Linked DNA regions of Oryzias latipes. The protein of the gene in region 2 interacts with the protein of the main gene of each other region in a pairwise test. Links are inferred from orthologs where the notes say so. Each region holds a gene or a part of one and is shown on either strand. Other genes may lie near its edges.

Region 1 (4,102 bases), on a different chromosome or scaffold from region 2:
ACACCATTGTTCTTTTGGTTCAACATCTCTAAAGGATCTAAATTCAGCTTCTTAGAGATGCACGGTCTGATTGTAATTTAAATTTCCAGGTATACACTAAAAGATCATTTTAGAGAAACCTACCGAAAATTAAATGAATCCTAATCAAAGTACCATCAATTTGCAGTCCTTTCTGCAAGTATTACCATACTTTTTGAAATCCTTGCAGTAGTTTACATTTCTAATCTTTTGGGGCACTGCATTTAGTGAAATGCCATACTTATAGCAGCTCTCCCAGAAAGTTTTTTTTTCTTATTTAAAATGCAAAATAGTTTAGTAATTATATTGTAAATTACCTAAATTATTTTTGAAGCAAAAAACTAGTGTCTCACTCATTTGTTTTTATTGTGAATTAGTCCTGAAATGTTAATCCATATTGTCTTTTGAAAGACGCATAATTTCAGACGTTTACAAACGTTACATCCATGTGAGACACAGTAAACTACTGACCTTACTATTATATTCTTTCAAAAAGGAAAAACTTTAAATTATATTTAAAATAAAGAAAAATCCCCATTACACTTCTCTTTTATCGAGTACTCCCTCAACTGTAACATTTCGTTTTTTTTTAACCTTTTTTACATTAAAACTAATAAACAGAACACATTTCTTTTTAAATGTATTAAACCAAGTTTTAGTAATATTGCTTTTTATCATCATTTTATTTGTATCCAGAATCCAAATATAAACATATGAACATTTCTCAGAAATAGAAACATTTTCTAAGCAGAAGATGCAACGATCAAATACTATTCAGCCGAATTCCTCCCCACCAAACCTGTGCAGCTCTGGTGCCATCTAGTCGAGAGAGTTTAGAAAAGTTTATTGAGGAAAACAACTAAACAACAACATTCCCTTTCTATTTTTTCTTTTTCTTCTTCTTAGGAGGTTCTTGATCTGAATCGCTGCTGCTCCCCGAGTCCGAGCTGTCCGAGGATGAAGAGGAAGAGGATGTTGTGGATGAAGACGAGGAGCTGTCGCTGTCGCTGCTGCTGTCGCTGTCATCAGAGGAAGAGCTGGAGTCGCTGCTGTCAGATGAGGAGTCGCTGGAGGAGTTTCCTGAGGCCCCGCTGCCGTCGTCGGCGTCTTTTGCTCTGGGAGTCAGAGGGGCAGCACAAAGCAAAGACATAAGTGAACAGAAGCGTGTGCAGCTTCACGCGTCATGCTGTGCTTTCCGTGTTTCTGCCGTGGAATCAGGCAGCAAACAAACAAAAATGTTCAGGAAGACACGGCCAGTCTGTTCTGGTTACCATCAAGCTCAATGTCAGCTATTATGTCACAGACTGTCCAGTATCCTATGAAGAATAAAGTCACTAAACGAATCTTTTTTAAGATGACTTGAGCTGCACAACGGCCATGCCAAGCAGATTCAGGTCATTTTTGGACGCAAGCATTTGTGCGACTATGTTCCATTTACACTGACTTTGGTGTTATGCTGTTAAATATGTTAAAAGAACAGACAGAACTATTTTATACATGATCAAAACAAAACCTTATCTGTCAAAGAATGAATAAAAAATTAATACATTTAAAGATATAATAAATTCTAAAAAGTCTAAACATTGACATGCTCTCTACTCCCTGGAAGTTAGAAGAAAACTAGATAAGAAAAAAAATCACTTTCAATTAGTTAACTTGATGAAGACCATATGTAGTTGCGTTTTTTAAATTTTTTTTTTTTTTTTTACAAACAGCATTCGGATTTCAAGAAAGACTTAAATTTTGTTTCCCAACTATAAGAGCTGGAAACCTGTAGTAGCTAGAATAATCCACTAGAGGGAGCCAACACCCAGAATAACTTTGACAACTAATATTAATGAAATTATAGTGGTGTGTTGATACTAAAATGATAATATTCATCTGTTGTCTCCTCTTGTCTGTTCATTTGAAAGTGAAGCAAATTAAAATCATTTATTTTATGAACACTGTTCTGACATGAAACACATAAATATATACCACACTCCTGTCACCTGGAAAAATCTACTTCACAATGCTGGCAGTAATTCTGTGAAAGTTTTTACCTCTGATCTTTACACAAAGAATTCCCTCCATTCTGCTTCTCCTGATGTTGTTGGAAATCTCCTCCTATCTTCTACATTATTCTTAAAACATCTTTTAAATTTAGTTCAAGTCAGGGTCTTACTAGGAACAAATATTTCACATGAAAACTAAACATGAAGGATGTCCACATAAATGCGCTTCACTCATAATGTTAAGTGAATTTTACTGCAGATGTGATTTTTTTTAACCTTATGCTTGAAGAACTGGCAGGTTAGAACATGTAGTTATTTAGAAAACTGCCTTAAAAAACAAAGTTTAATTAACATCTGGCAATTCCTACTTACTTCTTTTTGAGTTTCTTCTCGTGTGAACCTTCCCTTCCTGGTCTGTGAACAGAAAGGAGTTTCATTTAAACCTGAAACAAAAATGAAATGGGGAAGTTCTCCGTTTTTGGTTGCCCCCTTTAGGGGTCACCACATCATCTGCAGGGCTGCTCAATCCTGGTCCCAGAGATCTACCACTCTGCCTGTTGTCCAGACCTCCTAGCTGCTGATTAGCTCAATCAGACGTCTCCACATTCAGACGAATGAACACACCTGGTCCAGGTGATCCGCAGCAAAAGGAAAATAGGCAGGGTGGTAGATCCCCGAGGACCAGGCCTGGTCCAACCCTCTCCTCTGTATTTTCCTCGCTTACATGAGGACTGCCATCATGCCTTCCTTAACTCCATCCATGAACCTTTTGATCTTTCCTAGTAGCTCCGACCTCAGCATCAATTTACCAACATATTCACTGTCCCGCCTTTCAATGTGTCCAACCATCTCAATCTCTTTCCCTGCATTGATCCCCAAATCATCTAACTTCAGCCGTTCCTCTAATACAGGGGTGTCAAACTTATTTTGGGCCACGTCAGCATAGTGGTTGTCCTCAAAGGGCCAGATATAACTCACACATGTAACTAAATGTAATGACAAATGAATGCAACTACTCCTTAATGTTAAATAACTCATTTATTTATTATAACATTTTAAAGTGACAATTACAGTTGCAAAGAAAACATATGTTTGTTTGTTACTCTAGCATAAATCTGTTAAAATATTGTCTGCTTGTTAAAACCCACATAACTCCATTAATGAAGGATCAAACTGTCCAAGTGAGTAAAAATACAATAACATAAAACTGAGCTAGAAATAACTTTTTTGACACAAGCAACATTTTACAAAAACAAAGGCTGCACACAGCCTTGCATCCAACTGATTGTTTGATGACAACAATTTGTCTGCATACAGACCTGCAAACATTAAACTGCGCGGGGGATAGTGGGTATTCCAGCAGACCCAACGTATTGCACGGGGGATTGTGGGATGCGGTCCACTGGTCAGAATAGGGTTGAGAATGGGTGTTTCTTGTTGCCTACGTTTCTTTCCATCCATCAGTTTTGTTGTTCCACCCTTAGTTAATTCTTCCTGTTATGTTTGCTTCTTTTGTTGCACCGTGATTGTGGGGAGAGGAAAGGGGGATGACTCGTGTGCGATGTTCAACGTTCTGCGCGTTCAAATTAATTGGGCTCAATGCTGGAAAGCGGATTGCGCAATCAGCTTCTCGTTGGGAGTCATGCGGCATGCAGGGCAGACAAGTGTCCAGCGCAGTCAGTCAGTCAGTCAGTTGATGGACTGCTCCGCTCTCACTTTCCCGCTCCGAATGACGACCCAGCTGAATCGTTTCATTATTATAAAGGGGCTAATAGCTCAATAGAGATGGGTTTGTCTTTGAGATCCGATAGTGTAGATTGGAGCTCAACACTTATTTCCAAAAAATAAATAATTATACGCCTTTTTTTATTTTAAGAAATGAAAAAGTGGTATGCTCTCGCGGGCCACATAAAATGACACGGCGGGCCACATTTTGCCCGCGGGCCTTGAGTTTGACACATGTGCTCTACTATCACTTCATTCCTGATGCAATCCATCCTCCTCCCTCCAAAGAGAACCTCAACATCTTCATCTTTGCTCTTCTTGTCAGAGTCTCTCAACCAGGGGTGTCAGAATCCACACCTTTCTTT
Region 2 (4,415 bases):
TAAAACTGAGTTATCATTCTGAGTTTTTTTATTCATCTATATGAACACAAACATTGTAAAGTGTTTACATCATCATTTGTTGATACTCTAAATTTAGGTTTGAGACAGGAAGACTTCACTCACATTTTTTTTGTCGTTTTCATTCTTTTTGCGCTCCTTGTTTGCCATTATGACGCCCACTCTCAGGGTGTCAAAGACGGGGTCATTCCGGTTTGGATTATCTGGTGGAATGCAAAATTATTGAGCTGAATCAATAATTTATCTATTTAATTTTGACTGCTTGATAGTAATATTTAAAAAGACTAGTAATGCAGAAGCCTACAGTCCAGGTTAGATGTCACCTTTGAAGATGTAATCTAATTTTTATGCTAAGCCAAAAGGAGATTTTCTGTACAAACTGGTGTAATTTTTCTTTATTTCAATTATATTGTTGAATCAGCTACAGCAATTTTCCAACACAAGTAACTTTCTTTTTTTCAAAATAGTGATTATGATAATCATGTCTATTTTGAGCTAACTTTTCTGGACTCACTTGGATCGGGTTGGTCACTGCCATACAAAGGGGAGCTGTAAGCTCTTCTAAATCCAGGTGGCTAGAAACACAAAAATAAAAAATAAAATATTCATAAGAGTTTATAGCCTTTGAATTATAAAACACAATAATCTGAGTTTGCACAGATTTTATTGACTGTCTATCTATTTGACTGCATATTCTTTGATATCAGTGTAAAATATAACATTTTTTATGATGAATAAAACTCACAATTTTGCCAAAACACTTCTGGAACTCGACATAGGATTGGCATGAATGGTGGATATTGGTTTTGCAGTTTTTACACCTCAGACAAAACTTGTTGTTCACTGCAAGATGTGCAAATGAAAAACAGTAAAAGTCACACATCATTTTGATGTAGAAAATAGCATCACTATGAAAAGTCAATCTAAACACATTTCTTTGGGAAATTTAACAGGACTGGTTGTGTATTTGCGTATCCTGGTGAGCACATACAGACTATCATGCGAGCACAGACATCGCAGAACTTAGGTTTCTTGCAGTAGTGATCCTTGAATTTGTGGGGTTTGTCATTGATCCGAAGAATGGGTTCCGGGGGAGGTTCTGGTTCCTTTTCCTCCACTTCAACTTCCTCTTCATATATGAAGTAGACCTTGAGAAATAGCAGAAACAGCTTAGGCAGAAAATGTGAAACATGTTAAGGGTGGTGTTCATAAAGAATCTCGATTTGTATGAGTCAGAGTTTTGGCAATGAAACAAACTGTCTAGACTACATGTATAAAACTATCTTCAGGGAAATCTAAATCTGAGGTCATATTTTCAGAATTGACAGTGGACTGCAGCCTTGTTCCAACTGGTGGCTATTTTAAACATCCTGGGAATGGCCCTAATGGTGGGTGGTTGGCATGGTGCTGTCACTCACTGTGTCTCCCTCCTCCCTCACTACATTGTCAGGGACTGGAGGATTGTCATGAATATCCACAGAGTTTTTGTCATCCTCCCTGAGATAAATAAACGTGGAAAAAACTATAAGCTGCCGAAGCCACGGATTGGGAAAAAAACACAATTTTGGAATTAATAAATAAAACTCAAAGGTTTACTACTGGTGCATGTTTATTCAGCAATGACACTAAAGGAGAACTTACTGAACTTATTTTACCATGACAGACTAGGGAAAAAAAAACAAGCATCATGGAAACCATGTAATCAGAAGAAAAATCTACTCCAAGTTACAAAAGACACTCGTCTTAAACGATACAATTTTATAAAATAACTTCAGTTAATTATTTTATAGAAATTAATAGGTAGACTTTGACCTCATTGCAAAAAAGATCTCTAATAGTATCACTTATCAAGTTGAGTTTTAAGTTAATTGATAACTAACAAGCTTATAACATTTTGACACTGACGGAACAAATGATGAGTGGATCTGTACTCACTGATCCATGATGCAATGCAGACAAAGTCAACACTTTCCAACCTAGAAATAATGGAACAACGTTTGACATGGGGTTGATTGACTTAAAATTTAGAATTTCTAAATGATTTCAATAAAATAAAAACTTTGGTTTATAAAATATTATATTTTATGTACATCTGAAAGGACCTCTTTTCTTTTTTAATTGTGAGAGTTCATATAATCACTCCCTTACGTTTCTATGTTTAGGATTTTATGACTGCCAGTGTTTAAAAATAGACAAATGCCAATGTAAAATGTATTTAGCCACAGATTTACTTTCGCATGTTTATATTAACCAACCTACAATTTCACACAGCAAAAGTTGAAATATCAAATACAGAAAGAAATTTTTTGTAAAAAAACAAAACAAAACAAATATGCTTCATTATTTTGTGTTTGACAGTGTAACTTGGATTTTGCAAATTGTCACCTACAGCTTTACCCAAACTCTTTTTGGGTTTTGAAATCTCATAATTGCTAAATTTTGGATTTTTTTCTAGTCAGGAAAAAAAACGTAACGAAATCCAAGCTATCATCTTGAACAAAATTGTTTTAAATAAACCACACAGATTTTAAGAGTGGTGAACAATTCACTTAACAAATTTAATCTACTTACAGAACAGAAACAGAAATGGTTATTAACAGGCATTGTTTATATATGCAATGGTAGCCTACCTTAAGTGAAAGACCACGGAGGAAGTTACAAATCCAGTATATTGTCAAAACTCTATGGTGGGTCTTGAGCAAAAGACGATGACTGGTGTGGCGTACGATCTGTGCTACTGACTCCAACAAAGCAGCCGCCCAAAATGTCCTGTCAGTTCAGGCCTTTTGGCCTTTGGTCCCCTATTTGTGGTTTCTTGATATTCGCTTCAGAGGATTTTACACTTTGAATGTAACCTCACTAAAGTAATATATATTTACATATGCCAATATACAAAATAGTGTAAAGGGACTGGAAAGATCTAACTATTTATGGATGCCCAAGTGTGTGTATTTTTGTGCATGGCAGGCTTGGCATTACTGAGTGAACTTGACAGTTTGCAACAGCTGAGTATCTCTCACTAAGCCTGAGTCGGGAGGAAAAGGGGATACACACACTCCCCCCTATCTATCTATCTATCTATCTATCTATCTATCTATCTATCTATCTATCTATCTATCTATCTATCTATCTATGTATATAGATAGATATAGATCTTTATATCTATATCTATCTATATACATATCTCTATATGTATGTCTATGAAGACTCTCATTCATCCAGGTTGGTTCCATTGTAGTAGGTTTAGGGGATGTCATCTGGACTTGGTTTTAAAGTTTAAAATCTCTCTACATATCTATATCTCTATATATCTAGATATATAGATATGTAGATGCATATATATCTATATAGATATAGATATAAATGGATATATAGATATATATGCAGTGTCCTCTGTCAGGACGCTCCAACCTGCGCTAGACAAGCGTTACAAAGGTCCCGTTGCATTTTGGGTACAATATTCCTGACGCGCTGAGTGCGCATGCCCAAAAGAAAACTCCATTATTATTTTTTTTTCTTTTTTCTTTTGCTTGGAATTTGTAAGAAAAAGGGAAAGAAAAAAAACACAAGGAGCAAATGTGAATTTGGGATCACATAGGTCGTTATGGTTGTTGAATTGAATGTGAATTCCACACGGTTCAGCAGAACGGAGACTAAAAGCAACGGCCGGATCGTTGTGGACGGGGAGCGGGACATCCCTCGGTTTTGCTGGGACTCTCCAGAACCAAGTAAATTTCAGTCCTTTAGCTTTGCTAACTAGCATAGCTCGTAGCGGTTACCCAGGAACTCAAGCGCAGTGAAATGAAGCGCTACTGCTCTTTGTTTTTAAACCTGACGGTCAGACGTTGCGTAAATCTTGATAGCTGGTTAACATCGCTAATTCGTGAATTAGATTATGTAATGGTTAAAGTCTCGCTTAATTGTTGAAAGTACCAACCATTTTCAAAACATTCACTGGCTAGTCGCCTTGCTAACTAGCTAACTTGATTCACCCGCGATCCAAAAGCGGAGACTTCAAAACTTAGCCAACACGGAGCTTAATGCAAAAAAGGTTAATCAGCATTTGTTGTTTGTTGTGGCTACCTCCTCTAACGGATATCTGTAAGTAAGTGAATCATAGTAATTCGAATAGGAAAGTTGTTGTGTTTATTTCGAGACAATGTTTTGCACGGGATGCCTCTTGTAACCGTTGCTAATACAAGAGTTTTTGCATCAGAGTGTTTTGTGCGCCTGACAGCTGTCACGACAACATACTACAAAGTAGTCTTAGCCTGCTAGCCCGGCTATTAGCTTTCACGCTAGCTGCCGTGTCATCAGTGTAAAATATTTCAGTGTTTGTTTGCCACACACGTCGTAAACTCCGTCGTTTGTTATTAGACTAATTTCGTTGTTGTTTG

What was found.
Region 1: the proteins of stac3 (region 2) and zcchc10 interact in binary tests that used the Homo sapiens proteins (3 or more experiments, as listed by UniProt). The two-hybrid records come from large-scale screens. The link is inferred for Oryzias latipes from reciprocal best matches to the Homo sapiens genes STAC3 and ZCCHC10.

Annotation. Positions count from the first base shown.
Region 1 is NC_019872.2:6,662,177-6,666,278, forward strand, and holds the end of zcchc10 (zinc finger CCHC domain-containing protein 10), read right to left. Parts: intron 2,427-4,102; coding exon 2,385-2,426; intron 1,134-2,384; coding exon 899-1,133; 3' UTR 683-898; downstream 1-682.
Region 2 is NC_019865.2:7,551,605-7,556,019, forward strand, and holds the start of stac3 (SH3 and cysteine-rich domain-containing protein 3), read right to left. Parts: upstream 2,957-4,415; 5' UTR 2,649-2,956; intron 1,995-2,648; 5' UTR 1,962-1,994; coding exon 1,954-1,961; intron 1,516-1,953; coding exon 1,437-1,515; intron 1,167-1,436; coding exon 1,010-1,166; intron 862-1,009; coding exon 764-861; intron 594-763; coding exon 533-593; intron 222-532; coding exon 124-221; intron 1-123. UniProt on the Homo sapiens protein: Required for normal excitation-contraction coupling in skeletal muscle and for normal muscle contraction in response to membrane depolarization. Required for normal Ca(2+) release from the sarcplasmic reticulum, which ultimately leads to muscle contraction.